Linked DNA regions of Mus musculus. The protein of the gene in region 1 binds, or shares a complex with, the protein of each later gene. Links are inferred from orthologs where the notes say so. Each region holds a gene or a part of one and is shown in the gene's direction. Other genes may lie near its edges.

Region 1 (10,125 bases):
AGGTTTTCAGTTTAGAAAGTTTTAATTCCTCTCATGTACCAATTGGACTGTTAACTCTTTTGTAGCATTATTTTAATTTAAAAAAAGAGCCCACTCCTTTATGTCCTTTTGAAAATTTTATTCCTTTATATGTCTTTGTAGATTTAGGAATAGACATTTCTTTCTGAATCACTTTCTCATCTCTGTATCTGCCTGTTGTTATTTTCTGCTGTGGTCTGAGCCTATTTCTTTTGATACTGTACTTCTATCCATGTGTCTCTAGTTTATGTCTGCTCTCTGATTCAGTTTTAACCCTGATCTTGGTGCCTGGAAATTTTCCCTGAGAGCTTGTGTTAGGCATAAGAATCAAGTTCTTTGCTGGGCAGTGGTGGCACACGACTTTAATCCCAGCACTAGGGAGGCAGAGGCAGGCAGATTTCTGAGTTAGAGGCCAGTATGGTCTACAGAGTGAGTTCCAGGACAGCCAGGGCTATACAGAGAAACCCTGTCTTGAAAAACAAAAACAAAAACAAAAAACAAAAAAAAGTTCTTAGCCAATGGGTAAGGGAAGCAGCTTTAACTATAGCCATTGTTTGAAGATTTTCAACTGAAAGAAAGGAGAAAATCAGCGCATTATTTAAAGCAGCTCTTGATGTTTGGGGACATTAGGTCTCTTTGAGAATCTGAAAATAATGAATCCTAAAGAGTCAGGATCTCACAGAGTCTATGTGTAAAAGTGTATCTTTACAAGGCCTGGGTAAGAAGCCATAATCCAACAGAATTACATGTTCAATATGACTATGGGCTAAGGGGGTGACATCAAGGCATGATATCATTTGATGGTGTTCAAGCTTGGTTAAGCAGGGAAGCACATATTTATATAAGATCTGTTACAAGTACAAACTTATAAAACTGCTGTAAGTAAATGTCTCCAGTTAATGCCAGTGTGGGGTTTTAGAGCATGCTCACTTCCAGCTCCCACCTCTCCTGTCCTGTTCCCAGAGGCATATGCTAGGACTTTCAGTATGGCCATAGAATCCCGGTGACCCAGAATAATGTCTTCATACTTATATGTCTGAAGAGAATCTGGTTCTTTGACTTTTTAAGTATATGTATTTATTTGTGTGTGTCATGCATGTGCTATGGTGTGCATGTGGAGGTCATGCATGTGCTATGTCATGCATGTGCTATGGTGTGCATGTGGAGGTCAGAGGAAGGCTTGTGGGAGTCAGTTCTCTCCCACGTAGGACCTGAGAATCAGTCTCAGGCTGTGTCTTGGCAGCAAGCGCCTTTTCCCACTGAGCCATCTCCTGGCCTTGTAAGTACGGTTCTTATTGGAGTTCTGTTGCTGGTTACTTAGTAGATCACTTCGTCTAAGAAGAGGAGATAAGGGCCTTCCGTGAGAGGAGTTCTGTATTGTGAAATGTGCTTGAAGTATATAATTACACAATTACATTATGATGACATTGGAAGTGGAGCTTGATACAAGCAGAAATGTTAAGAGGGAATTTTTTCCTTGCAGGTTTGCTATTTGGCAGTTTTTAAAACGATGGCTGTTCTGTGCCCAAACATATCAGGAAGCCATCCTCTTTTTTTTTTTTTTTTAAAGAAAGAGAGCATGGCTTATTGAATTGTCTCCTGTCTTTTTTTTTTTTTTTTTTTTTTGGTTTTTTGAGACAGGGTCTCTCTGTGTAGTCCTGGCTGTCCTGGAACTCACTCTGTAGACCAGGCTGGCTTTGAACTCAGAAATCTGCCTGCCTCTGCCTCCCAAGTGCTGGGATTAAAGGTGTGCACCACCACGCCCAGCTGCCATCCTCATTTTTAGCACACATACTGCACATTATAAAAGACCTCAGGAAACAGCCACAAAATGTAGAGGAGACGCTGCAGAATAAGGAGGTCATTGACAGCTTCATTTTACTCTGTTCATTTTCGTATTTTCTTTAAGTTTTTAATTGTATTTTAATTGTGTGTGTGTGTGTGTGTGTGTGTGTGTGTGTGTGTGTGTGTGAATAAGTTCTTTCTTTCTACCATGTGGGTCCCAGATATTGAACTCAGGTCTTCAGGCTTGGTGGTAAGCCCTTTTGCCCACTGAGCCATCTTGTGGTCTCTCATTTATACACATTTTCTGAACATTCTAGAGTAAGCTTGGAAGGTAGAGGCAGGAGCATTGGGCTTCCCAGGCCAGGCTAGACTTACATAGGTCCATCCTGCCTGTGCTGTAAAAATGAACACTATTTGAAAAGTGTTCAGGAATGACTAGATACAATTTTCATGAAGAGAATATTTTAATAACTATCATTTCATAGAGAAACAAAGCTATACACGTTCAGTTTTGGGTTTATATGTATTTAGAGTAAAGTATAATTGCATATTTTTTGCCTTTTATGTTTTAAAATTTTATTTTATGTGTATGAGTGTCTGTCTATGAGTATGTCTATGCACTATATGTGCAGTGCCAGAAAGGGCCAGAAAATGGTGTCAGACGCCCTGGAACTGGAGTTACTGACGGTTGCAAGTCATCACGTGGGTGCTGGGAGCCAAACCTGGTTCCTCTGGAAGAGCAGCCAGTGCTCTTACCCTCTCCAGCCTTGTATGTGTTTACTTTTAAAAAGAACGGAATCTGTTGTAAAAGCGTTCTTCAATGTTCCCCTTTAGGTGTTTCTGTTTGAGAGAAGAGAGCTGCTGCAAGAGGAAGTAGCGGCTCATCAGGCTTCAGGATGTCTGAAGATGAGGAAAAGGTGAAGTTACGCAGGCTTGAGCCAGCGATACAGAAATTCACTAAGATCGTGATCCCAACAGACCTGGAGAGGCTAAGAAAACACCAGATAAACATCGAGAAGGTGAGTGTTTCATTTCTATCACAGAAGCAGGTACCTGTGTGGGTTCTTCCTTGCTGTCTACGTTTCAGCTACAAGGAGAGTCTGAGGCTTTTCTGAGACCCCTCCACCCTGCTTATAGCAGCATTACTTTTCAACTGGTCTTCAAGTTCACAATTGTAATTCTCAAATATTCCTTTTATTATGTTGAGGAAGGGAGATGGGAGTAGAGTTTATGCCTTTTTAATTTACATGTGGAGGTCTTAGATAGTAATTAAATCACACTGTTTGATGGTGCCCCATAGTGTGAAGGTGGGGTGCTGTGGCTAATGGACCTGCCTTAATCTCATTCACCCCATGGCTAGTGTTTTGAACTTGTGCCTATCAAGAACTTCTATCCTCTTCAGGTGCACATGTAAACGATGTAAACAATTGTGTGATGTGAGGGAATTTCCTTTCTTCACTGCTTCTCTTTGACAAAGGATCCAAATTGAGAAGTTCTGCCAAGGCAGATGAGCTGCTCAGAGGCCCTGCCCTGGCCAGGGTGTGATGTGGGCCTGTGATGTTTACCGAAGCCTCAGGTTTACTGAGAACTGAGCTTTGACTTGGAAAGGTGGGTTGTCATCTGCTTTCAGCACTGAGCTGTGTCTACCTCTACTTCTTTATTTTTATTTTTATTTTTATTTTTATTTTAGGGTTAGAATGGATGGTGTGGTTATTAAGCCTTTCAGTATCAGCTGTATTTACTAAAAATACCAAAGTTTTTCTTCTACTGATTTTTCTAGTATTTAAGTGCTTTTAAAAAACACAAAAATTAATTTCTAAGATGTCTACAATGAAACTTTCTCTAGGAGTCTTCTAGAATTCAGGATTAATATTTTTCCATCCCCATTTCTTCTCTTCTTTATATATGGAGCATAAGCGATGGCTCTATTGCATCAGGATACAGAAGGAAGTATCTGCTAAACTGCTTCTTGCACTGGAAGAAAGTGAAAGCTCAAAAAAACACGGCTAATGAAACCTTTTACCTTGAGTTGAGCAATCCAAAGTAAACACGTCAGCTTCAATATTTCTCCATTACAAAGGATAAGAATTAGGTAGATGAACTGAATCTGAAAGGGAGAAACAAGAGGTCTGTGAGCTCTTAAAGCCATTTCCCCCTTTATTGTCCTACTCTAAGTTTGACATTTAACATATGTTTCTCATTTTGCATGGAAATGCCTGTTGTCATTGCCCTTCAATCCTAGCTACAAGTGTATGTGATCCTATCAATGGGAAAGGGGGAACCCCACAGCAAATCGGAGGAATAGGGAATAGGGTTAGATGCATTGGTGATTGGATTAGCTGTACAAGGTGTAGTAAGAGAATTACCCTGGAGTTAGTGCCATCGATCCTGCTTTGCCTGAACATGTTTCTTTTAGCAGTTTTGCTTATTATGAAACCTTCAGACGTTATCAGATGATTATCCTGGACAGATAGATGGTAATGTCTAAAACCAAGAAAGTAGGCTCATACTGATTTATGCTTTTGTCTTTAAATATCCTTGAACATTCACTGTCTGCAGGGTTTCTAGTTTGCTTATGAAAACTCCTCTTTCTGTGCACAGGCTTGAATGGTGCATTTTGGTGGCTAGGCTGTGTTATGAAGCACACTTAAAACTGCAGCCCCTCACTCTGTTCAAAAGAGTTAAGAACTAAATTCAGGCTCCAGGTGTCTTACGTGCCTTACTTTAAAAGAGGCATATTCTTCTTGAGGAAAAGGTGTAGAAAGATAAAATATTTATTATTCTGGCCATCAGTCATCCAATATGAATTTAAAAGAAGAAAGCCAGACTGAAGGGAAATTGAAGGTAAGCCTTTTGTAGAGTGAGTCTGCAACAATGAAAACAAAGAGAGCAGTGTGCTGGGGACACCTGGGCCATGTGCATAGCCCTGCAGGGGGACCCTGGACACATGATGAGTGTTGCTAGCATGGGATGCTGACGTTTGAAGCCTTAATGTGTGAGAGGTGTAGTCCAGTAAGGAGGAACTGCAGGGTAGCCAACTTGGGACACAGTTGTCTTTGTTTCATATTGTTGGGATCTAAAGAGAAACATACTGTGTGGGATGTACACAGGGTTCTTGTGAATTAGTTTATGGGTAAGATGCAAGTGGCAGAAACCCCCTAAGTGGCTTATCAGATAAGGTGGAGTTTGTTTGCCTTGGATTTGCCTCCGTCTCATCTCTCATGGCGGTGGAAGTTGTCCATTACCTGCAGGCATGTCCCTCACACCAAGCTTCATCCTCCTAATGATCTTATTAGGGCTTTTTCATTTTGAAGGTAAATTCCTCAGTAAAGAAGGTGCAGGAAGTATGGCGCTGAATAATTTTACTTTCTGTCTTACATCTGTTAATGACACGCACCCCATCATTTGCCTCCTGTTTTACATCTGTTAATGACATGCACCCCATCATTTCCCTCCATCCAAGCTTTGTTCTTTGTTCAAATCTCCCAGCTCTGATTCTTCCTGTGGGGTATGCTCTGTAATGTCATCACTTCATATTAAACGCACTATCTTGACACAGCCTGTTTACAGATTTAATACCTGTGTTTTAACTGCAGTCTACCTATTGGAGTTATTTTATCAGAGGTGAGGCTATAGTAGGGATAAAGTGGGGGGCTAAGAGGGCTGAGTGTACTATGCATTATATGACCATCCATCTGACCTAAGTGAAGGAACGTGAACAGGAAGACAGCAGAGAGCACCAAGGGATTCCTGGCCCGGGCTGCTTGCAGTATCCCATCTCATCTTTGTCCTTATTAGGTTTGGAGTCCAGGATCCCCAGCTGGCCCTGCAGAGAGGGTTATCGTCCATGGTCATGGACAGTTGCTTGAGCATGTAGGGATGTAATGTGGCAACTACTTGCAACTCCCAACAATTGCTCTCTCCCTACTACACTCTGTAGGGAGTTGCCTGTACCTAGTAGCTCTGGATGCCCACCCTTCCTGGAGTACAGGTGCCTGTGGCCTTCAAGCACCCCCTGCCCCGAACTCCCAGTCACCTCTGCAGCCTCAAAATTGTCCCTCTGGCTGGTCTGCCGAATCCACTACAGTGTGTCTATGTTCTTCCCAGCTTCTGAAGTTTGCATAAAAGTTCTCGTCTGTTGGTGTCCTCTGCTGGGTTCTCGCTGCTCTTGTGCATTTTTACTTCTTAATGTTCTTTATTGTACTTGCCTGAGATTTTGAGCAGAGATGAATGTTCACATTCAATCTGCCAGGTTTAATGAGAAACAAGATTATTTATTACAGGAAATAAATATTAGCTTTGTGTTTGCTGTTTCTCAGATTGTTTGCATTGAATAATATGTAAAAATAGATTTCCAATTCTCAAGAAGTTTGCAGTTCAGTTAAAGACACAAGATAGGAAATAATCAAGAATGATGGAGGCAGCATGTGACTGTGTGTGGAGTGGGAGACGTGGACTCAACAGTCAGCATGCGCCTGCACCCAGCAGTACCCAGCAGTACCCAGCAGCACCCAGCAGCACCCAGCAGCACCCAGCAGCACCCAGCAGTACCCAGCAGTACCCAGCAGTACCCAGTAGCACCCAGCAGTACCCAACAGTACCCAGCAGCACCCAGCAGCACCCAGCAGTACCCAGCAGTACCCAGCAGCACCCAGCAGTACCCGGCAGTACCCAGCAGCACCCAGCAGCACCCAGCAGTACCGAATGAAAGAAGCAGGGATACTGCTGTGCTACTTATGTACTTGCTCATATTTGCTTGTTAGTTTGTAATCAGAGCGAATCCCCTCCCATCCTGTGACTGTCTCCTTTACCAAACTCACATGGGGAGTGATACTGGATTTGGTAAATGTGATCATTTACTTCTTGTCCATGTTTGGTTATCAAGGATATAGCTATATCTCACAGTTCTGGCTAGTGAACCTTGATCGATTGCCTTGTAGAAATTTGGAAACTTCTAGGAATATTTTCCTACTTAAAAAAAAGATATACATATAAGGAAACATTTGCATTTCTTCCAGTGGTCTAGCTGTGTCTTCCTGTTGAATCTGGAAATATAGCCAACCAAGCTGGATTAGGGCACAATCGAGGGTGTTATTGGAAGTAGTAAAGCAGAAAGCAGCACCCAGGCATGTGACAACCTTTTAATGTCTGTATTGAACCACTGTCACATCCCTGGGATGACTGCTACACTCTTGGCTGCTTTCTGTGTTTGTTGTTGGAGCCATTTTAAAGTTCGTGTTTCTGTATTTTGCAACCCAAAGCATAATGTGGTAGTTTTGCCTTAATTTACCTGCCTGTTCTGCTGTGCAGATAGACAAAGACCATCTCCTATAAAAGCCAGCAGTGTAGAGGTGCTGGCCAGTGGCCCAAACTTAACTACAAATTTAAAAGTTGCTGCTTCTAGTGTTTTTACGTATATTAACTCACCCTACTTTCTACCACGCCCCACCAAATAGTTGGGATAATAACTTTCATAGTATATCCTAATTTCACATAAACTTGAATAGTAGGCAATAGCAATGTGAATTCTTTTCTCCTTTTCATTTTTGAAATTCACTGTATTAAGGGATAATGCCATTGAGGCAGTAATCACTTCTCCAGCCTTTTTGAGATGTGGGTAAATAATGACAGCAGAAGCAAAGGCCGCTGCTTTTCTTTGCTGAGAATTATGTTACAGGTTTCCGTATGTTATAACATTTCATTTTTCAATAGATTTATAGGTCAAATATTATTGATGCTTTGTCTTCTAGTTTTTTATGTTTATTTATTATTAATGTGATGTACGGGGACACACATGCCATAGTGTAGATGTGGAGATCAGAGAACAACCTTTGGAGTCCTTTCTCTTCCTTCTGTGTGGCTCCTGGGGATTAAACTCAGTTCTTGGGCTTAGGGCCAAGCCATTACCTGCTGAACCATTTCACCAGCCTAAGTTTTGCTTTTTGAGACAAGGTTTCACTATGTAAGCCCCAGCTGGCCTTGACCCCTGGACCTCCCTTTTCTAGCTCCCCAGTGCTGTGACTCCAGGCCTGCGTTGTCACACTGCACTGTGTGTTACGTTGTAGGTGGAGAGACATTGAGAGCAGATCAGCTGCATATGTGGAGGTTGCTATGTTAGTACATATGTCTAATGTATACGTTCTTGAGAGTGCACTTCCAAGAAGGGCACTCTCTTGGCTCCACGGCAGAACCTCATATGCACATCATTGTAATTGTCACCAAGTGCGGCACTGACCTCTCATCTGTGCTAACTCATCCTTCTTTTATGTCACCTGTGAATTTGATAGTTATATGTTCTTTATTTTGAAGTTATCAGTGAGAGTGCTAGACAGAAAAGGGACAAGGTCTCTGGTTCCCCAAGGTCTGGTCTCTCACACCATCTCCATCTCTCAACTAATTTTGTAAACACTTGCCTGAAGATTTACATTAATATTTATAGCCCAGGTCAGTCATTTTATATATATATATATTCTTTGTGAAATTAGGTCAACATTTGCAAATATTAGGAATTTCTCCAGTTCTTCATAAATATACATAAGTATTTGCAAGGTTTCCTGGTTTACTCAGATGTCATTTTCTTGTGCCTGTTGATTTGAGCTCATTTGAAGTGAGTAGGTTTACTCTTTCTTGGTTTTCTCCCCTCCCTCCCTCCCTCCCTCCCTCCCTCCCTCCCTTCCCTTCCTCCCCCCTTCCTTCCCTCCTTCCCTCCTTCCTTTTTCTTTTAGGAGAGAAGGGGTTGAATTTGCTAACGATAGAACACAGAACCTCTTGGATGCCAGGCAAGCACTGCAGCTGTGAGCTGTATCCCTAAGCCTGTTGTTGTTGAGATAGGATCTCCCTAAGGTGCCCAAACTGGTCCTGAACTTTTGGATGTCAGGTAATCCTCCTGTCTCAGCTCACTGGTTAGCTGAGATTGCAGGCATGTTCCTTCATACGTAGTTTTATTTCCTCCTAATGACTTATTAGAACTTTTCTACTTTGAAGTTGAATTCCTCTGTAAAGAGGGTAGAGGAAGATAGAAGGCGCACCGAAAAGCTTGGCTTTCTGTCTTATGTTTGTAATGGCATGCACCTTACCATCCGCTACCACTCAAGCTTTGTTTTTTGTTCAGACCCCAACTCTGGTACTTCCTGTGGTGTATACACTGACTAATGCCATCACCTCAGACATAAGCACACAATCTTGGCACAGCACTGTGCAGTAGACCTTGGCATTTATATATTTAATGCCCATTTTTGACTATTTGGAGCAAAGCTGCAAATATCTGTGTTTCCAGACAATTATGATGGTGAAATAATAATTGCATAAAACCATCATAAGGAGTAAGATATTGGATGATGGGACTGGAGAGTTAGCTAAGTAAATAAAGTGCTTGCCAAACAAGTGCGAGGACTGGAGTCTGCGTCTCCAGAGCCCATATGAAAGCTAAGCAGGTATGGTGGTCTGCTTGAAATCTCAAAACATGGAGAGGCAGAGACAGGATCTCCAGCGAGTTTTAGTTGGAGTTCCTATTGCTGTGATTAATAACCATGACCAACAGCAAGTGGGAGGGAAGCGTTTATTCTATCTTACACTTCTAGATCACAATCCCATCACTGAAGAAGTTAGGACATGAACTCAAGCAAGGCAGGAAGCTGGAGTCAGGAGCTGATGCAGAGGCTGTGGGGAAGTGCTGCTTACTGGCTGACTCTACCTGCTTCCTTTAAATACTCAGGATCGCCAGCCCAGTGGTAGCAATGAATGGGCCTCACACATCAGTCACTAACTATGGAAATGCTCTATAGGTTTTCCTACAGATGGAGCTTATGATCATATGGAATCATTGTTTCCAGTTGAAATCCCCTCCTCTCAGATGACTTCAGCTGTGTCAAGTTACATAAACTAGTCCCACATTGGGGCAAGCCGGCGAGCTAGACTGGCGAGGTCAATAAGCTCCCGGTTCAGCTCACAACCCTGATGAAGTGAGTCAAGTGGAGAATAACTGAGGTGGCCATATAGACCAGCACAGAAACAGAGGTTAATCTCTGCTCTCTACACACTCATGCATGTACATTCATACCTCCTGACATGAGCCCTCACATGAGGCACATGTGCCCTGCACGCATGCACACACACACACACACACACACACACACACTCAGACACACATGAAAAATCCCTATGCACAAGGGAGATACTCAGAAGTAGAATATATAATTAGTTAATTAGCCTACCCAGGCCTTTAGCATAGGTACTGCCCATCAATATTTCAAGTGTATTAGCTTTACCACATCCTTGTTGTCCTTCATGTTTGTCGGTGCTTCTGTATTCTTAGTATTTGGT
Region 2 (10,723 bases), on another chromosome or scaffold:
GGCATAAAACGTGACTTTGCAAGTAGCCTTCATTCTCATTCCTATTTCGGGAACCAGAAACTGAAAGTTCCAGAGGAAAACTTGCCCAAAGCTGCCCAGCACATACATCAGGAGAGCCCAAGCCCAAGCCCAATTCACTAGATACTGAGAGCATCCTTAACACACTGCCATGGCTTGCATCCTGCCACAGCATCCAGCCACAGCATCCAGCCACAGCTTCCAGCCACAGCTTCCAGCCTATTCCCTCATTCCTTACAAAGGGACTGTAACTCAAAGGTGAGTTCCCACTCCCAAGTATGGTACTGTGAGCCTGTGAGCCTGTGAGCCGGGCACCAGTGAGCTGAGGACAGCAGGATCGTTGTCAGCTACATAGCGAGTACCATGCCAGTCTGGGTTACATGAGATCTTGTCTCAAGGGGGGAAAAATCACACTTTTGTAACAACCCAGGCTCAGAAAAGCCACTGAGCTTTTAATTTCTTCTGAAGTTCTAGAAACAAAACAAAAACAAAAACCTCTTCTTTCTAGAAACAAAAACCTCACAGAAAAACAACCTGAGTGGGTCACACCCAACCCAGAGTCTACCTCAGAGTTCTTGGTTCAGTCCTTAGCAAAGAAAGGAAGGGAGGAAATGGGGGAGGGAAGAAGGAAAGAAGGGAGGTAGGGAGGGAGAAAAGGGGGAAGAAAGGAAGGAAGGGAGAAAGAGAGGAAGGGAGGGAGGGAGGGAGGAAAAAGGACAGTTGGACATTTTGGCTCACACTTGTAATCCCCAAATTTAGAATCTGAGGAGGAAGATAATTGTGAGTTTGAGCCGCCGTGGACTACATATCATGTTCCAGGCCACCTGAGCTACGTTATGAGATTCCATCTCAAAAAATAAAATAAAATAAAATAAAATAAAATAAAATAAAATAAAATAAAAATCCAAAGAGAAAGCTGGGGAGGTTGCTCAGCAGTTGAGAGTACAATCTGCCTTTGCAGAAGAACCTGAGTTTGGTCATCCACACCCATGTCAGGTGACTCACAACAGTCCCAGGATTCCAACATCTTTAAGTCCTTAAAACAAACAAACAAAAACAGAATGAGACTGGGGCTATGCTCCACAGTAGATTCTTCCCTAATGGTGCACAAACCCCTGGGTTCCCCCAGCACTGGAATCCAAAGACAAAAGAGTAAAGTTGTTATTAGTTGTGTAGTTTACATTTTCTAGCAGAGAGGCTGGAGGTGCAGTGTGAATGTGGCTCGGGAGGTCGAGGGCTCCTCTGGCACTGCAGGGAGCACTGGACTCTCTTTCCAGCTAGGAAAGAAAATGTGGCTGACTGGCTGATTGATTAACTGACTGACTGATTGATTGATGAATGATTGACTGGAGACACAGTCTGGCTTTGTAGCCCAAGGTAGCCTTGAATGTGTGATTGCCCCGGCTCAGATTCCTGAGTTCTGGAGCAGCACTGCACAAGGCTGTAAAACGTTCATGACATTTATGAAAGTAGCGTTCTTCTTTTCGAACTAAGTTGCTGTAATCTGTTGTGCATTTTCCAGCCTCCGTTCTCACTAGCAGCGCTGGGAGAGCTCACTGGCCGTATGGAGTCAGCGTTGTACTGGGCAGCAAAAGAACAGAGCAAGCATTTGGGGGTGGGAGGTCTTGGGACAGAACCCAGGGCTTTGGCGATTCTAGGCAAACTCTGTTGCTACTGAGAGAGCCTTCGACACTGAGACAGGGTCTTGAGACGTAGTCCTGCCTGTCCTGTATCTCATTTTGTAGACTAGCTGGCCTCCCAGAGATCCCCCTGCCTCTGCCTCCCAAGATGTTAAAGGCATTCGTCACCACACTGGCCCAGGCAGGTTCTGTCTTATAAACCTCCTTGTGATTTAAGATGAATCTTTTAAAATATAGAGTTTTTTTTTTTTTTTTATGGTTTTTTGTTTCTGTTTTTTGTTTTTTTCGAGACAGGGTTTCTCTGTGTAGCCCTGGCTGTCCTGGAACTCACTTTGTAGACCAGGCTGGCCTCGAACTCAGAAATCCGCCTGCCTCCGCCTCCCAAGTGCTGGGTTTAAAGGCGTGCACCACCACTGCCCAGCTACTGTTACCTTTTAACTATGTATGTCTGTGTTTGTGTGTATGAATAGGGTCTGTGGGGCCAGAAGAGGGCGTCAGATCCCTGGAGCTAGAGTTACAAGTAATGAGTTGCCTGACCCAGGTGCTGGGAATCAAATTTGGGTTCTCTGGAAGAACAATACATGCTTTTAACCAAAGGGCCATCTCTCCAGGACCCAGTTCTTTCTTTGTGACCACTGAGCCCTTGATCAGCAGGATGGGGACATTCTCAAGGCCTCTTGACCTTTTGCCTAAGATCAAGTGTAGTACAGACATTCTCTGTTGTGATCTCATTCCTCTTTATTCTAGATTTTTCTTTTGCTTTATAGGAAAGGAAAGGAGTTGTGCCGCTTTAAGGTGTTACTAGGGGCTAGAGAGAGAGCTCTACAGCTAAGAGCACGTGCTACTCTTGCATAGAAGGGTCCAGCTCCCAGCACCCACATCAGGTGTCTCACAACTGTCTGCAACTCACCAGAGAACCTAACCCCTCTGCCCTCAGGCACACACACACACACACACACACACAGACACACACACAGACACACACACACACACTTAAAGATAATAAGATAAAAACTTTTAGCCGGGAGTGGTGATGCACACCTTTAATCCCAGCACTTGGGAGGCAGAGGCAAGTGGATTTCTGAGTTCGAGGCCAGCCTGGTCTACAAAGTGAGTTCCAGGACAGCCAGGGATATACAGAGAAACCCTGTCTCGGAAAAAAAAAACAAACAAATAAACAAAAAAAAAAAAAACCCAAAAAAAAAACCCAAAAAAACCAACAACAACAAAAAAAATTTTTAAAGATTTTTTTAAAGTGTTACTAGTTGCTTTAATTTGCTTCTGTAAAACTAAGCGTGCAGTGTTTGTAGATATAGCTCCTCCATGGCTGCCTGAGCAGGCACGAGGGAAAACACATAAGTGTCCCAAAATGATTCCGGGATTCTAAATTTATTATAGCCAACAAAATGAAACAAAACAAAACCCCTCTTATTTGTTGGAGGAGCTAAGATTTCCTCCTTGACGGTGTTATTTACTCTGGGGTGGGAAAGAATGTCTGTTCTCTTTCTGCCCTGTTATTGTTCTGTCTTGACAAACTCCATCCGGAGAAGAGCAGATTTTCTCTGGCGGAGAGCCACATGTGGTGGAAAAACCCTTTACTCTTAGGCCCCCATCCTAATCTGTCTGACAACCCTCTGACAACTGACCAGGGTCACCAACCCCCACGGTGACCTTTGGAAGGAAGTGTAGGACTGCTCAACTCCAGAAGGAAAGGAGGGGCTGGTGAGTGAGCCATTTCCCCGACTGTCCTGTGTCCTGTGACAAGGATAAGGTGCCCTGCCCCTGCTGTTTGCACTCCTCCCACTGCCTGAGGTCAGCCTTAGCACCCGAAGAACATTAGAGGGGGACAAAGATCCCACCCCCAGGGCCAACTTGGAATTTTCCTGGAGATTTTAAAGACTTTAATTATGTGTATGTGTGTGTATGTATGCACACGTATGTTCACATACCCACAGAGGCCAGAAGAGGGCATCTGGACCGCCCCTGCCCCCCCCCCCCCCCCGAGATGCAGATACAGGTGTCTGTGAGCAGCCAGGGGTGGGTGTAGGGACCTGAACCTGGGTTACTGCAAAAGCAGCGGGTGATCCCAACTGCTGACCCATCTCCCTAGCCCCCGTTTTCTGGGGGATCTTAGAGCTCTCTTCTCATACAGGATGGCCCTTGGGGACAAAGGTTGCCCAACAAGGTATCTTCGCCTGTACATTCGTTTCTATCTAAATAATGCTAATGTAAGTCCCTGAAAAACTAGAATTACTTCTTTGAAGCATAAAAGAAGTTTCTGAAAACTTAGGAGGACTGTTGATCCTTCTTTTCTCCTTCCCCCCTCCCCCAACCCTGTTGCTTAAGCTTTTGTTTGGGAGGAGACTAGGAGGACGGCAGCAGAGGGCAGCCGCCTACCTGGAGAAACCTGCAGTTACGTGTGTGGCAGGAGCCGGAGTGGCTGGAGTCGCGGGATGGTCAGGAGGCGGGCTGAAAGTTGGAGTAAGCAGGAAGTGAAGCTGTGGCTGCCTTGGGTGGAAACAGACTAGGCGAAGTTCTGCTTTGAGAGGCCCAAGTGCTCCGAGACATGGTGAGTGACGTGGGGACCAAGAAAAGAGCGAGTTAGAGCAGCTGCCAGAGGGGGATCGGGCCTGGGGGTTGCCTGTGTCGAGAAAGGTAAGTTGGCGGCAGTCAGAGGGCTGGCGGGGTTGGGCCAGCGCTGCCTCTGTCTCCTTACTTTTGACAACTCCTCCACAAATAGCTCCGCACTCCGGGCCAGGGGTTCCTGACACTTCTCCACCTCCTTCCTCCCGTGACCTCGGTGCTGGATCCGATCAGGATTTCGGTGGGGGTTGGGGGACCCAAATTCCAAGCCGAGCTGCTGCGCCGCGCCCTCCCCCTCCTCCGCCTCCTCCAGCTGGGCCTGAGCCCGGTGTTGTGACATTACCGGGCCACAAGCGTTCCTGCTCTTTGGGGCTCAGATTCCAGCCCCGCGGACTGGAGTTCTCCCCCTTACCCTCGCACTGTATCTATGCAGACACCCAGAGGATCTATCTGCCTGGCCACCAAAAGCACCACCCTTTTCTAGAAACATTAGCAACAGTGCCAAGGGTTTGTAAAGCAGCCAGATGGCGGTTCTTCCCGATAATCTAGCTTCAGCCCACACCCGTGGCCGGTACCTGAGGCCCCCTGGGTCCCTAAGGGAGGAGTCAGGCCTCTTCCCTCCTTGTTCAAAAGCCTTATCTAGAGGCCTCCTGGATAGAGCGACCGCAGCAGGAAGGACTTTTATTAATATCTGCATAAGCAGGCGGTGGTGTGCGGCCTACCAGGCGTTAAATTGTGGGGAAAGCAGAAGTATATGGTCCAACGGCACATGATGCCTTCTGGGGGCCACATCCACTGAACCGGGGCTACACTGCCCAGTAGGCTGGAACCAGAACTCACCAACAGCTGTCTGGAGAAGGGCATTTATTTGGGTTGGGCCGGGCAAGAGTGTGCTGCTGGTCAACTCTCACAGTTTTAGAGAGAACCCACTAGGATTGAGCCGAGGGAGGCTACAGGAACCAGTTAATAGTTCTTGGCTGTGCTCTGCTGAGGAAACGTCAGCTGGGTTTTCTCCTTGACCCTCTTTGTGGAGTCAAGACAGGGGCAGTCGTGTGCTGTTTTTTTGTTTGTTTGTTTTTTGTTTTTTGTTTTTTTTTGTTTTTCCTTGTCACGCTGAAAATCCTCCAAAGAAGGTGGATGAGAATCCAGGGTCAAACCTCATCTTCTGGGACTTAAAAAATGCACTTACATGGCTGGCAGCCGAGATGGCTGGGCAGGTACAAGTGTTTGCAGAGCAAGCCTGCCTGCCTGAATTCAGTATCCTGCTCTCTCCTGCCCATCCAACTGGAGGAGACAATCCACTCATGAAAGTTGTCCTCTCACCTCCACATGCGTGCCGTGGCATGTGCATACACGTATATTCCCCAGCACACACACACACACACAATGCACTTATGACAGACTAAGGATGTGGTTCAGCTGATAGAGTGTTTGCCTGGCAAGCGTCAAGCTCTGGGTTTCATCCCCAGCACCTCATAAAACAAGGATAATGGTACACACCTGGAATCCCAGCCCAGGGTAAGTAGAGACAGGGGGTCAGATGTTTAAGGCCATCCTACTTAGGAAGCCTATGGCCTGCCTAGGTTATATGAGAACCTGCCTCAGATAAATAAATCTGGGGAGGTGGCTCAGTGGGCTTGCTACGCAAGCATGAAGATTTGCATTGGATCCCTAGACCCATTTAGAAGGAAAAAAATTCCAGGTGTGGTGGTGCAAGCAAGCACTTAGGTGGCTCCTAGTGCTAGGGTGGTGGAGAAGGCTGAGCCCTGGGGCTTTTTGTCCACTCTAATCTCAGAGCCTCAGGCCAACAGGAGACCCAGCCTGTGGGGGAAAAAACAAGGGAGGAGTGACACCTGACCACCCGAGGCTGATCTGGGATATAAACGTGCTTGCATCGAAGTGAACATTTACGTAGAACATTCTCCTGGTAAACAGTTGAAGCATCAGAAACGGCTAAAATCTACTTTAGTTCTTCCAACCTCCTCTGGCCTCTTGGATCCTCTGCTGCCCGGCCTAATTAACCCCTTATTGACATCCAGGAGGAGGCCAGTGGGAGTGCCGGAAATGACCGAGTTAGGAACCTGCAGAGTGAGGTGGAGGGAGTCAAGAATATTATGACCCAGAATGTGGAGCGGATCTTGGCCAGAGGGGAGAACCTGGACCACCTCCGAAACAAGACAGAGGACTTGGAAGCCACGGTGAGATTGGGAGAAAACTGGGAGTTGGTGGGGGCAGATCTCGGGGAGGGGGAGAAGTTTGGGTGGGGAGGCAAAGTGAACAGAAGGGACTGCAGACTGTCATGTCTACTGCCCTTTTGCCTATGCAGGAGATGGCTGAGGTTCCACCTCTGCTTCCTTGCTACTCTGCTGGCTGGTAGAGAGCCCAGTGAGTGGTTGGATTTGAGCTTGGGTGAGGGGCCCACCCACAGAGCCATTTCTGAGACAGTTCAGTCAACTGCTCCATTCCTAAGCTTCATTGGGGTATGAAACTGATTTTTGTCTCAAAGCTTGCCCTTGGCAACCATTTGGAGTTGATGTCCCAAAGGCAAAGTTATGAGTTCCGGGCAACCCTTGGCCTTTCAGCATTCTCCCTCCAGGTGTAATTAGGCTGGAAGTTGGTGGGGGGCGTCTTGCTGAGTCCGCTTTAAAGCACAGCTGGGAAGACCAATGAAATCCTTTAACCCCAGGATCCCTGTGTGCAAAGGCCAAAATAATATCTCCCACACATCTTGCTTAGACCTCCTCTTTGCTGCCATGGACTGAGGCCAAGCTGCTCAGGGCAGAAGAAAGTCTAACACAAACCAAGGCTGGGGCCTCAGTTTTCACTTGCTGTGGAGTACACTGGCTTCCTGGGTCCATTGGGTTATCTTGGAATCTAGTGCCTCCTGCAGCATAAGCTGGGCACATGGAGACTTAGTGTCTGTATTAACTTGGAGAAGCAGGAGGCTTTTTTCTTTCTTCCTTTCTTCCTTTCTTCCTTTCTTCCTTTCTTCCTTTCTTCCTTTCCTTTCCTTTCTTCCTTTCTTCCTTTCTTCCTTTCTTCCTTTCTTCCTTTCTTCCTTTCTTCCTTTCTTCCTTTCTTCCTTTCTTCCTTTCTTCCTTTCTTCCTTTCTTCCTTTCTTCCTTTCTTCCTTTCTTCCTTTCTTCCTTTCTTCCTTTCTTCCTTTCTTTTCTTTCTTTTCTTTCTTTCTTTCTTTCTTTCTTTCTTTCTTTCTTTCTTTCTTTCTTTCTTTCTCAAGACAGGGTTTCTCTGTGTAGCCCTGGCTGTCCTGGAACTCACTTTGTAGACCAGGCTGGCCTCGAACTCAGAAATCCACCTGCCTCTGCCTCCCAAATGCTGGGATTAAAGGCGTGCGCAACCACGCCCAGCTCTTTCTTTTAAGTTTCTGCAGTGCTTTGGTTCTTCCTTCAGCTTCTACAGAACTCAGAAGACAAAGCAAAGTATCATTGAGCCAGGACATGTGCCCATCTGGAGCACATTCCTGTACCCCTTAGCTTGTGGGTCTGTGCTCCAAAGGCCAGATTTCTCTACCAGTCAAACAAACTCCAATTGTGAGCATATATCTGTAAAAGACCCCTTAGTATGCAGGTTAGTGCAGGGGCAAGAAAAAGAAGGGAGACTGGACATAAGACTCAGGTGGTAGAGTACTTCACTAGACTTCACGAAGCCCTGGGTTCAGTCCCTGGCACTATATAAATATGGTATTGTGGCACACGCCTGTAATCTGAACTCTTTGAAGGTAGAGGCAAGTGGATCAGAAGTTCAAAGCCAGGCCATTGAGATGGCTCAAAAGGTAAAGACACTTGGTACCAAGCCTAAGGATTTGAGTTCCATTTGTGGGATTCATATGGTTGGTAGTCTTGATTCCTATAAAATGACCTCTGACCTCCACTGTGGCTTGTGCACACCACACACATAAACAAACAAACAAATAAATATTGTTTTTAAAAGTTCAAGGTCGCCGGGCATGGTGGATTAATCCCAGCACTCGGGAGGCAGAGGCAGGTGGATTTCTGAGTTCGAGGCCAGCCTGGTCTACAGAGTGAGTTCCAGGACAGCCAGGACTACACAGAGAAACCCTGTCTCGAAAAACCAAACAACAAACAAACAAACAAACAAACAAAAGTTCAAGGTCATCCTTTGCTACAAGGAGTGGAGGCCAGGCTTTGCTGTATGAGATCCCGACTAGAAAGATAGAAACAGAAAAGGAAGGGACCCTGCTATGCTCAGAGGGAAGTTTTATGAGTTCAAGAATTCTAAACTAGAACTTGGCTTACAGATTGTTGTAGAAAGACATTTGTGAAGCAGCCAGAGATAGACAGATCTCTGAAGCTCCTGGCCATCCAGGCATACTTAGTGAGGCCCTGTCTCAAAAGTAAAACAAAACAAAACAAAACAAACAAACAAAAAAAAAAAAAACCAGAGAGAGATCAGTGGGTAAAGACTTTTGTCAGCGAGCCTGGCTGCGTGGGTTCAATCCCCAGGACATACAGAGGAGAAGAGAGAACCATTTCCTGCAAGTCGACCCCTCTCCACCACGTGGGCAGTGTGGCACATAAGGCAGAGGCACAAATACATGTTATAAAGTATTTTTAAGAACCTTTCCATTCCTATTGTAAGAGGAAAGAATTGTTCACTTATTTGTGTTTTTATTTCGAAGTGGCTATCCTCCAGCTCCAGCGTCTTTTTTTCCGTTTCCTACTTCGATTTATAATGTAATGTAAACATCTATACTATGGCATGTGGTGTCCGTCTGTACTCTCAGTCTGAGGGCAGGAGCTCACGACTTTATCTTATCCCCAACAGTCTGAACACTTCAAGACAACGTCCCAGAAGGTGGCCCGGAAGTTCTGGTGGAAGAATGTGAAGATGATTGTCATCATCTGTGTGATTGTCCTTATCATCGTCATCCTCATTATACTTTTTGCCACTGGTACCATCCCCACTTAAGAGTCCCTTCCATCCCACCCTACTCCTCAGGGGTGACCTCCCTAATATGTGCCAAGAGGAGCCCTCTCCTGTCCTCCTCCACCCAAGTGCTGCTCAGTCCCTGTGAGGGCCTTCTGCTGCATCAGATGCCCCAGACGCACCTTGATCCCCTGGGAGGAGACAGCTGGACTGTAGCTGCATCTCATGGTCCTGAGAGTGGGTTACAGAGACCCAGAGGACCCTGTCTGTGGCTGGGAAACTGTTGGTGGCTGGTGGGCAATAAAGACCTCTTGGTATCCCTAAGTGTACGAGGCGCTTTACTCCTGTGTCTTTCAAGTGTCTGTTTCTTTCTTTCTGAGGAACCCCTCCAGGCTGGTTTCTCCCAATCTAGAACCAAGATAGTGCAAGGATTGAGCACAGGTTTAGTGAAGAAAGATGGCAGCTCAGAGGCTTTGCATACCTGAATTAGATATGCCAATCACTAGACCCAGCTAGAATCAATAAGTCAGTCAGTCTGTCTGTCTGTCTTTAAAAGGACTTTTATTTTTTAAGAAGAATGAGTATGGGTTTAGAGAGATGGCTCAGAGGTTGAGAGCACTGACTGCTCTTCCAGAAGTCCTGAGTTCAATTCCCAGCAACCACATGGTGGCTCACAACCATTCTGTAATGGGATCTGATACCCTCTTGTGGTGTGTCTGAAGACAGCTACAGTGTACTCATAGACACTAAAAAAAATAAAGAAAATTATTTAAAAAAATAAGTATGAGTATGTGAATGAAGAGCCTGCAGAGGCCAGAAGAGGATGTTGGTTCCCCTGGAGTTACAAGCCCAACATGGGCGCTTGGAACCAAACTGGAGTCCTCTGCAAGAACAGTTTGCACTCTTCCCCCCTTCCCCTTAGGTAAAAGTTTATGTTTGATTATTAATTAAAATATAATTATATTGTGTTGCCCCTTCCCTTTCCTCTCTTAACACCCCTCAACTCATCATCCTCCCTTCACTTCCTCTCAAATTCACGGCCTCTTTCTTTCATTGTTTTACACACACACACGCATACACAGTGTGCAGATTTGTGTTTGGTTTTGCTCGCATGTAAATAATTACAGGGCTGAGTACTTGGTGTTGATAACCAATTAAGAATCTCAACTCTGGAGAATTGTTGTTCCTCCCCCCTCTGTGCTAGCATGCCTGTTGATGTCCTTGCTCAGATCTTGTTTAGGCAGCCATATTGTTGAACAGTTTGCACTCTTAAACAACGAGCCATCTTTCCATCTCTCTCCCTCTCTCTTGTATAGATGTGTATGTGTATATCTGCATCGGTGAATGCCGGTGCTTGTGCATCTATGTGTGCAAGTGTGTGCACGCCGGAGGTCAATGTTGGATGTCTTTATCGCTCTCTGTCTTACTACCTAGTGGACTCTTCTTCCTGACGGTTGAGCCTACAGCATAAGGTCTGTGAGATAAGAGTCTGTACTGAGGTACAGCTCCAGCCCTCACCCCACTTTTTGAAACAGTCACTCACTAAGCCTGGAGCTCATCAGTTTGGCTTAGGG
Region 3 (10,125 bases), on another chromosome or scaffold:
AGGGGAAAATGGAACAGGTCTTCCTCTAAAGAGCTGTGTCTAATCTCCTGCAGGAGGCCTCTCTGTGTTCTTAGCCAAGGTCTCCACCAAGCCAAGCAGCCTGCCCGAGCAAACCTAGGACACTTTCCTCCCCGCAGAAACCAGCCGGAGCTCTCCTCCTACCCTTTCCCTTTTGGCTCTGGGCCAGAGCCAGCCCCACGGGCCCCTACTCCATTCTCAGCTCTTCCAACATTGAGCTGTGTCTGTGGTATCCAAGTGCTAGAACCTGCTGTCCCGGGCTTCTGTGTGGCCCGGGGACCCAAGAGCCAAACCCCAGCAGTTGGAAAGGGAACCTCAGACTGTGCTTCCCCATCCCTGGGACAGGGTCCTGCGGCTTCTCGCAGCCCTGTGGGGTGTGGGGTGCACACAGTCTCCTGCATCCTGCCTCACCCAGCAGCCCGAGCCCTGGGCCAGACTCAGGCCACCCATTTTAACCCACAGGACAATCAGTGTTTAAGGCTAGCCTCTGTTGCATGTTGAGCTTGCAGGCAGCCTGGGATATATGAGACTCTGCCTCAACAAACAAAACAAAAAGCATCCCCCCCAAACAAAACAAAACAAAACAAACAAACAAAAAACCAATTATAGGAACAGTGCTTGTTTTAAGTAAAATGGCCCTTAGAGGTGTTTACCTGTACCCAGGGCTCATGAATAAGTTAAAGGCAAAAGAATATGCTTGTGTATTTAACTTATTCTGAGGTACCACGTTGGGTCCATTTTCAATATGTAGATCTTTCACAGTTGGAAAACCAAATCAACAAACAAAAAAATGCTAGGGTCCTCAGAGTTCTCTAGAGGAAGTGTATCAGAATTTAATGAAACAGCTTACAATGGTAACAGCAGCAGAATCCCACCTGAGAGCTGAGGACCCTGTACTTACTCAGGCCTTGCGACTGAAGGCCTCAGCAGTGAGAGGAGTCCTGCAACAGACATCTCTTACCAGGAGTCAACCACACTGCTCACTGAGTCTACAGGCTGGGCTTCAGTCATCCCAGTCTCTGACAGAAGCCTGGAGGTTCTGCAAAGCCTGCTCCCTAGTTGAAAATGAAAGCTTGGAAATGCTGGTTCTGCTATCAGTGAGGGAATCAGCAGCCTGATAACAGGGCAAATCCATTTTTTCTGGGATACCAGAAGGTGCTGCATGGGGGAATCTTCCCACACCAGTCAAGGCAATTTGGATAGTTCTTTGGGGACTCAGGTGGTTCTAATTTGTGGCAAGTTGCCATTAAAACTAGCCATACTACCAGGCATGTTGTTATACATGAGCATAGAGGCAACTGGGAACCAAGTGTTCAAACTTGAACCTATGGAGGCCACTTTCAGTGTTCTCTGAATTCTGTATGACTATGCATGTTCACTTGCACACATAAGTGCATATACACCACACATGAACAAATAAGAGAGACCTGATGGCTATGCATGGTAGACACACCTACAATCCTGGCCCTCAGGAGACAGAAGTAGGAGGACTGGTGAAACTTTGAGTCCAACCTGGGCTACACAGTGAGTCCCAGGCTTAGCTGGGAAAACATGGGGAGACTTTGTCTCAGAGAGAGACAGACAGACAGAGAGACCTGATGAAGGAAGAGTCAGAAGTCAAGACAGACTGATGTAAACACAGTTTATTCTGGAAAGGCTCAAACCAAGGAAGAAAGAGAAAACTGAAATGTACAAGGCCCAAGGAAAGCCATTTCACTGTCATGCCTTGAAGAAATACAAAAAGATCCTCCATCCAAAGACATAACTTGAGGGCATTAAAAGTGGCTATCTATTGTGTGGCACATGCTAAAAGGGTAAAAGGAAACAGACATTCTATAGAGAGATTGGCTTCAGTAGTTAGTGCTGGAGGAAATGCAGTCAGATCCTCTGTATCACTAGTCCCATATCTTTTAATTCAACAAACTGATGGTGTAAGATATTCAGAAAACAAACAAAAATCATAGCCCAGTATGGTAGCATCCAAGCACTGTAGGCAAGGCAGGAGGGCAAATGCCAACTGAACTGTACAAGATTTTGATTCTTCTCATTAGTTCCTAAACAATAAAGCAGCCATTTACAAAGTACTGACTTTGCTTAAATATTGTGTGATACAGAAATGATTTCATATATGAGAGATACATTGAAACTGTATTATTACACAAGGAATTTGGGCATCCCCAGCTTTCGGTATCTCAGGAGGATCTTGGAACAAATCGCACACAGATAGTCAGGGACAACTGCATGCTAAACCTACTAAGAGATATTTCCCCCAAAGAGAGAAACTAGTGAATAGGAATGGTGGTTTACACTTAATCCTATCATGTAGGAGACTGAGACAAGAGAATGGCCATGAGTTCAAGTCCAGACTGGAACACCATGGGAAACTGTCTGGGGGAGGGGGAGAGGAGGAGGGAGAGGGAGGGAGGGGAGAGAGAGAAGAGAAAGAGGAGAGAGAGAGAGAGAGAGAGAGAGAGAGAGAGAGTAGCACACAACTTGGGAGATAGAGACAGATGGTCAGTAGTTCATGGCCAACCTCAGCGCTACTTACCAAGTTCAAGACCAGCCTGAGCTACATATGATCCTGTCTCAAAAGAAGAGGGAGAATATTTAGTATATGTTTAGAAATGAAATTTCAAGGAACATTTCTTAGGCACACATACATTGCCTAGCATTTTCTTTCTGCTTGTTAAAGTGAAATGACAACATAAAAATCAATTTCAAACAGAACAAAAAAAATCTTTAATTTTGTAACATAACTCCATTTCCTCTGGTTTCTTTGAGACAGCCTTGCTATATAGCCCTGGCTTTTTTTTTTTTTTTTTTTTTGCCTCCTGAGTGCTGGGATTAAAGGCGTGTGCCACCACGCCCGGCCCCTGGCTGGCTTTGAATTCATGATCCTGCTGCCTTAGCCTTCCAAGTGCTGGAATTTCAGCTACAAATCACCACACCAGACAACAATTTTGATCTTTGCTTTTTTGTGTGTTTTGTATGGTTTTATATGGTTTTGTTTTATTTTATTTTGTTTCTTTTGAGATTGAGCCTCATTTATCCCAGACTGGTCTCTAATTCATCTTGCTCCATGTGCTAGGATTACAAGCATGCACCACCACACCTGGTAATTTTTAATCTATCTCTGCTAGCTTGGCCAGGTGTAGTAGCATGCCCATATAGTCCCAGTTATTTCAGAAATAGCTTGAACACAGAGTTTGAGGTCAGCTTGTACAGCATAACAAGGCCTCCCCCTCTCTCACATACACACACACACACACACACACACACACACACAGGGTAAGAATTTGTGGGATACCTCGACAAAAGAGTGCTTGCCTCGAATGCGCAAGGCCTGGTTTCAATCAGAATAATAATAATTAAAAAAAAACCCTACAATAACAAAACAGCCTGTCCCTAGAGCCCACCTGTGAGCCTGCAGTTTTGCGTTGACAGTTCCTCTGTTATATATATATCTTTTTACATATCTAACCAAGTGACTTGTAAGTTGATGGTCCTTGATCTGTTAATGTTGAGGGACCAGCTCAGACCTGTCATCTCCAGCCTGTAAACCTGTCCTGTTCCCACTCCTGTTCCTCTGCACGGCCTCAGAGCCTTTCACCTCCTTTCTCCCACCCCGTTAGTCCTTTCCTGGTGTTCCTAGGGACATATCCCTAGGACTTTCAAAAAGCATGTACCAATTTCATGAAACAGCAACAACTGTGCCTCTGGTATTTTTTCAGAACTAGACTCGGTCCCCAAAGAACCTTCTTCTACTGTGAATACTGAGGTTTACCCAAAGAACTCGACCCTTCGAACTTATCACCAGAAGATTGACAGCAACCTAGGTAAGTATGGGAGCTGCTACAGCCTCCAGGCAGTTTCTGCTGAGCACAGCAAGAGCACCCAGCACTGACACTTCATTGTGTAGATGCAAGTCACACCCCACAGCCATGTCCCTCTCACTGCCTCACACCTCAGGAATCTGTCCACTTCTCCATTCCTACATCAGTCCAGCCAAGCCATCTCCACTGCTCATGTGAATCCAGACCAGACCTAGGCGTCTCTGGGGCTTAAGTGCATCCAGGATAAACCACACAGCTTTTGCATGGATGCTAAGGATCTGAACTCAGGTCCTCATGCTTGCTTGGCAAGTGCTCAGACCCACTGAGGCATGTCCCAAAACTAACCAGCTACTTTATCTCAGCCTTCTTTTCCTGTCCTTATTGTCCTCAAACCCAAGAAGTTTCATGAGGCATGGGTGACTCTTTATTTTACTTTCCAGAAAACACAAGGTCTCAGGTTCCAGCGACGTCAAGAAACATAGTGTGCCAAGCTTAGTCCCAGCTATCTGGATGGCTAAGACGGGATTGCAAATTCAAGGCCAGCCTAGAAAATCTGTGAGCTCCTGTCTTGAAATGGAAAGTGTAGAGAGACTAAGGATATGACTAAGTGTCAGTGTGCTTCCCTAGCATGTGCAAGGCTCTGTGCTTGATTCTCCAGCATGCAGGGCGGAAATGCCAGTGTAACAGTGACCCCTGTAATCTTCTCAAGCAGAAGAAGCAGGGAGGGCTCTGTGGCTTCCAGGCCAGCCTGGACTGCTTAGCTACAGCCAGAGCTATAGATCAAGACTGTACTTAAAAAGCAAACCCTTAACAGTGGCTGTCTAGAGGGAGGAGATACACAGTGGTCTCTACCAAATTCACCACATATCACTGTGTAGTAAATATATTTCTTTTCACTTCTGTGTACTCTGAGAAACATATGCTACAAGCTGTGGCACACAGCTTCTCAGGCAGGACTCTGTAGTTGAGAGGCACTGTGACAGCCTGTCATTTCCTTCTCACAGATGAGCTGTCCGTGGGATTAGGCCACCTGAAGGACATAGCCTTGGGAATGCAGACAGAAATTGAGGAACAGGATGACATCCTTGACCGACTGACAACCAAAGTGGACAAGCTAGATGTCAATATAAAAAGCACAGAAAAAAAAGTGCGGCAACTCTAGAGACACGGAGGAGGAACTCTGCTCCATCCTGATGAGAAGATTCGAAAGGCTCTCTTAAACTCATGGATGTCACTTATTACAAGTGTATAATATAACGTGTTTTCAAATGTGGGTCTTTGAAATATTAGTTTCAATGGGGGAAAAAATGTGTGTTCCACATTTGGTAAGACCAGTAGTTCTAAAATTATTGAGCTGTTCTGCTGAGTTTTAGTCTAAGCTGAGTAACTGTGAACACCTTGAGCCTTTGATCACTATGCTGGAAGGAGAAAAAGTACTGCATTTCTGATTTCATGTGTGTCTGCAAAGCCACGGGCAGAGTGTCAGAACTACTGCCTTTCATTTACCCATTTGTTATGTTTCTCACTCCGAGGCCTTACTGTGAATTCAGATGTGAAAGGACCCTGGGTTTGTGACAGAAGAACAGGTCCTTCCACATCTTTATATGACAAGTCTTGTGGACATGCCTGCACACACACTGAGCACATGGCAGCTCTCTCCCCTGAAAAGGATCCATGTTCATACAGAACGGAAATGTGTTGCCTTCATTGTCCCTATCCCCATCTTCTGTTCTTGTCCTGCACTTTAGCAGAAGGACTCAGAGCAGAACTGTTAGGCCCCTCTTCTCACCTGTTCTCACCTCATCTTTCCATCTCTGATGGGGACTTTCTCCACTGGCTCAAAGCCAACTGGTAGGTTGGTTTGTGTGCATGGAGTATTACTGAGCCCTCTGCCTCTGGGAATAGAACCAAAGGCCTTGTTTATTCGGTGCCTGGAGTCTCCTCATCCATCCCAGATTCCCATGCATTCTCCATAGCTACGAAGTGTTCCACCTAGTTTAGGGACTTCGACTCCACAAATGATGCTAACCTTCTGTCTGTCAGATGATTCGACCAAAAGGCCCAGAGACTATCTTAGCTAGCTTGTGTCCACTCCCTTCAGTTTCCAAAAGAAAATATTTAGAAGTATTAATTAAAATTGATTCTTGCAAGAATTTTTCCTTGTACTGCCAATAAAGTCACTGAAGCCACAGAACACCTGACTATCTTAAAATCAAACTCACATATTTTGAAGAAGGTAAAAGAGACTTACTAGTAGATATGTCAAAATCTATAATGCTGGTGCCTTCTTGCCTTAAAACTTGGCTCATGTGCCATTTGAGGATCCTTCCTTTTGCATCTGGAGTCTGCAGTACCTTAAAGCAAAGCAAGCAGTGGGTTCATCTCAGTGGTCAGTTATCTACTCTTCTCTCTCGGGGCCTGGGGTTGGTCTCCACCATTGAGGAGAGGATCAGAAAATGGGGTAACAGGATTATTACTGTTCATGTAGCAATATGTACACACTCTTGTCAAAAATTATCCAACCTTTCTGAAAATACAGCAACCACAGGGAGAAAGGGCCCAAATCTGAAATCTGACTGAAGTGGACCTCTGTGAGTTCCAGGACAGCCAGGACGATATACTAAGATCTGTCTCAAACAATATAGAGAGACTGATCCATATGTATTTCCACTAATTGGTTTTGTTTTGTTTTTTTCTATAAAACCTTCCAAGTGTTATAACTGTTTCTCTTCATCACTATCAGGCATAGCCTTTTAGAAATTGATCAATATACCTCAGTCCTAAGAAATTTACACATGAGAATGCCTTCCATGGTCATCCTAGTGTAAATCAGCTAACTTGAGGCAAAGGGACATTTTATGTACCTTTCTTTGTTTTGCTAAATTAATGAAGCCAATCACCCCTTTCCCAATCTTTTTTTGCTCCATGAACATGAAACAGTCTTCCTGTAACCATTAGAGGTCCTCATCCAGTCTGTTCTTCAGACTCTGTGGTCCACTGAAGTTATCCCTTGGCCTGCTGGAGACTGGCTGAGGCAGATGCTGCCTTACAAAGCAGGGTTGTTTGGAAGACACAGATACAAAGGACTTGGGGAAACTCCAGAGCCAGATCTGCTGGCTGACACAGTAATCACAGCACTTAGGCCAAGGCAGAAGGGTAACCATGAGTTCCAGGTTCAGGGTGAGATCTTGTCTCACCCTGAATATCAGTGGTTGTGTGTGTGTCGGGGGGAGGGGGGTGAAGGTGGGCAGGGAGGGAGGGAAGAAAGACTCACTCCTGCGCTCTGGCTTAGGAAGAGTTAGTGTTGGCGAGGTGGCAGGCAGAAGTGGAATGGACTTTCTGTCTCACAGACCAGTGAACATATCCTTGTCATGTGAGGTCTGCAAGACAGACTGAAGCACCCTACCTTCAGAAAGGTGGCATTTGTAACTTTAGGTTAGCTATGTGTATGTGTGCTACCAAAACAAGTGCATTGTCCTCTGGAGAAGACTAACCGTTACTGACGTGTAACTTAGCAGCATTAGAGTGACGTCTTCAGTTGGTTTTCCTCATTCTGTAGGAGAGGCCTGATGTTCATTCATGTAACAAGTAAAACAAGAGAGCAGAGAGTCTTAATTTCCCTTTCTCTTCTTATAAATGTGCAATTTTAAGTGTATAATGTATCACTTCAGTAAAAAAAAAAAAATCTACTTTGCTTGACTAAGCCCCTTTCTTCAGAGAGGTGTGCCTGTGTGATAGAAGAGGGGAGGAGAGGGGAGGAGGGGAGGAGGGAGGGAGGGAGGGAGAAGGTGAACCTCAGATGTTGTTCCTAAGGCCCTGCCCACTTTTTCTCACTAGCCAGGAACTCACCAGCAAACCCCAAGCCACCCTTTCTCCCTCCCTTGTGTTGGGATTTCAAGCACACAGTGAGGATATGTGTGCTTTTGATAAGTTTTCTTACACAGGTCACAAGATCTGTGGATTGAGTTCAGGTCCCCATGCTTGTCATTTGGCAAGCTTCCCCAACCCTATGCAGGACATTTTTAAAGAGTTTTACTTTTTGTTTTATTTTGTTTTGTTTTACATTTATTTGTATGTCTGTGTATGAGCTCCAGGGGACATGGAATCTTTTAGGAGTTGGTCCTCTCCTTCCACCCTTTAAGTTCCAGGATCAAACTCGGATCATCAGGCTTAGAGGCAAGGCCTTTACCTGCTGGGCCGTTTTGCTGATCGTTCTGTAGAAGTTTTGAAGTTTACTGATGTTAAGCATCTTCAAGTCCAGTGAATGAGCCTTTATATACAAAGTGGTAAGCTACCAGTGAGCATGAGAGCACATCCCTGTAATTGGAGCACATGGGGAGTAGAGCCAGGAAGATCAAAAGTTCAAGGTCACCATCAGCTACTACCAGCAAATTGAGAGCCAAACTGGGCTTCATGAGACCATGGCAAAAAAAAAAAAAAAAAAAGGCAGAAAAGTAAAGCCATCATTAAAGGCACTCATTTGGCAGGAGGTGAAAGAGTCTTTGTCCTGTCAGATTAGCTTCCATCCCCCAGCCCTCAGTTCAGAAGATGAGTATCAGGAGGTTAATTTTTAATCAGAACCTATCTACATGCCACTATCAAATCATGGGTGGAGGGGGGAACCCTCCTTAGTTAATGTGTTTGGTCCTTGAGGCCACATTTAGGAGCCCTCTAAGTTGAAGATAGCCAGGTGGTAAGGCATGTGTTTGGCACATAGAGGGCCATGGGTTCAATCCCCAGCACCACTACTACTGAAAAGATAAAAGTGAGTCAGAAACCCAATGTCATCAGAAAGCTTGTCCAACCTGTAGCCATCGTCTCACCCCTCTGCAGTTTTCTGCTTTGCTTGAATGAGCCTTATCTTCAGGGTGTGTGTGTGTTTCTGAATTTGGAGGTTGGTATAATCATTAAGAGAACTGGCTGCTCTTCCAGAGGACCCAGGTTCAATTCCCAGCATCCATGAGGTAGTTTACAACCATCTGTCATTCCAGACATACACAGGTTACACAGACATACATCCAGGCAAAACATACACATAGATTTTTTTTAACCTGAATTTGTTTTTTTATTTCCTAGCTATCCATCTCAGTAAATGCTACCACCTCTTCTCTAGTGCAGTGGCTCAAGATGAAATGTCTATCGTTACCAGTTTCACTACACTAAACATGCAGAGGAGGTAACAGAGAGCTCATGGCTCACAGCTCTGAAGGCTGAAGTCTAAGTTTAAAAGGCCACACCATCATCATCAGGTCCTCTCTTTAAAAAAGTGTGTGTGTGTGTGTGTGTGCGCACGTGCATGTGTGCGTGTGCGTATTGTTCTTGTGCCCCAGCATAATACATGTGGAGGTGTCAGGACAATGTTCAGGAGTTGGTTCCTCCATCATTTGGGTTCCAAAGGTTAGGCTTGGAGGCAGGTGCCTTTACACAGTGAGCCCTCTCACCAGCCTGAGCCTTATGACTTTGGGATAGAAAACTTCTTGAAATGACAAAAATTTAAGTGCTCCAAGCTAGGCTTCCAAGCTGGCTCAGCAGCAATTAAGATCATCTAGCTGCTCTTCCAGAGATCCTGAATTCAATTCCCAGCAATCACATGGTGGCTTGAGATTTGGTGCCCTCTTCTGGTATGCAGAAATACATGCAGGCAAAATACTGTACACATAATAAATAAATCTTTAAAAAAAAAAAAAAAGTGTGCCACGCCCATAGTGCTACGGTCTCTGTAGCACTGTCCATTTCTCATAGTAGCACAAAACCATCCACAATACACAAATGAGAGTGCCTGTGTTCCAGTCAGACAGTATTTATAAACATAAAAACTGAATGTTATTTCACAAACTATTGTTTATTTTCCATCCACTTTAAAAAAAAAAATCAGGGGGCTGGCGAGATGGCTCAGTGGTTAAGAGCGCCGACTGCTCTTCCAAAGGTCTGGAGTTCAAATCCCAGCAACCACATGGTGATTCAAACCATCCGTAATGAAATCCGATGCCCTCTTCTGGAGTATCTGAAGACAGCTACAGTGTACTTACATATAATAAATAAATAAATAAATAAATAAATCTATCTTTTTTTTAAAAATCAGAATCTTTCATTTCATGGGAGATAGAAAATGATGCCAGTGGGTCATAGTTTGTTGCCTCCTGTTTAGACTTAAGAGGTAGGTCTGTGGAGAGGGAAAGGCCAGTGTGGGCTGCAGGCAGTTCCGTTTTGAGGCTCCTGCCAAGGAAGAGGATGGGACAGACATCACTTCCACTGTTCTGTCTCCATCTTTGCT

What was found.
Region 2: the proteins of Stx17 (region 1) and Vamp8 are in contact, whole or in part, in a crystal structure (PDB 7BV6), measured with the Homo sapiens proteins. The link is inferred for Mus musculus from reciprocal best matches to the Homo sapiens genes STX17 and VAMP8. Residues at the interface, in NP_060389.2 of Homo sapiens: Ser171, Trp172, Thr174, Leu175, Asp178, Leu179, Glu181, Leu182, Leu185, Val186, Phe189, Leu192, Val193, Gln196, Glu198, Lys199, Ile200, Ser202, Ile203, His206, Val207, Ser209, Ala210, Asn213, Val214, Glu216, Gly217, Thr218, Asn220, Leu221; in NP_003752.2 of Homo sapiens: Gly9, Val13, Leu16, Gln17, Val20, Glu21, Val23, Lys24, Met27, Thr28, Asn30, Val31, Ile34, Leu35, Arg37, Gly38, Leu41, Glu42, Leu44, Arg45, Thr48, Glu49, Leu51, Glu52, Ser55, Glu56, Phe58, Lys59, Ser62, Gln63.
Region 3: the proteins of Stx17 (region 1) and Snap29 are in contact, whole or in part, in a crystal structure (PDB 4WY4), measured with the Homo sapiens proteins. The link is inferred for Mus musculus from reciprocal best matches to the Homo sapiens genes STX17 and SNAP29. Residues at the interface, in NP_060389.2 of Homo sapiens: Glu170, Trp172, Glu173, Leu175, Glu176, Leu179, Ile180, Ser183, Val186, Thr187, Phe189, Ser190, Val193, Asn194, Gln196, Gln197, Ile200, Ile203, Ala204, Val207, Asn208, Ala210, Ala211, Val214, Glu215, Thr218, Leu221, Gly222, Ala224, Ala225; in NP_004773.1 of Homo sapiens: Arg52, Thr56, Ser59, Thr60, Arg62, Ser63, Leu66, Glu69, Ser70, Val73, Gly74, Ser77, Glu80, Leu81, Gln84, Val87, Leu88, Thr91, Met94, Val95, Lys97, Met98, Asp101, Leu102, Ile104, Ser105, His108, Ile109, Ser111, Ile112.

The regions. Positions count from the first base shown.
Region 1 is NC_000070.6:48,129,128-48,139,252, forward strand, and holds part of Stx17 (syntaxin-17), read left to right. Parts: intron 1-2,635; exon of another isoform or gene 2,636-2,637; 5' UTR 2,638-2,699; coding exon 2,700-2,822; intron 2,823-3,210; exon of another isoform or gene 3,211-3,411; intron 3,412-8,528; exon of another isoform or gene 8,529-8,680; intron 8,681-10,125. UniProt on the Homo sapiens protein: SNAREs, soluble N-ethylmaleimide-sensitive factor-attachment protein receptors, are essential proteins for fusion of cellular membranes.
Region 2 is NC_000072.6:72,383,978-72,394,700, reverse strand, and holds Vamp8 (vesicle-associated membrane protein 8), read left to right. Parts: upstream 1-4,033; 5' UTR 4,034-4,224; coding exon 4,225-4,227; intron 4,228-6,280; coding exon 6,281-6,439; intron 6,440-9,047; coding exon 9,048-9,191; 3' UTR 9,192-9,480; downstream 9,481-10,723. UniProt on the Homo sapiens protein: SNAREs, soluble N-ethylmaleimide-sensitive factor-attachment protein receptors, are essential proteins for fusion of cellular membranes.
Region 3 is NC_000082.6:17,423,288-17,433,412, forward strand, and holds the end of Snap29 (synaptosomal-associated protein 29), read left to right. Parts: intron 1-3,749; coding exon 3,750-3,854; intron 3,855-4,855; coding exon 4,856-5,013; 3' UTR 5,014-7,539; downstream 7,540-10,125. UniProt on the Homo sapiens protein: SNAREs, soluble N-ethylmaleimide-sensitive factor-attachment protein receptors, are essential proteins for fusion of cellular membranes.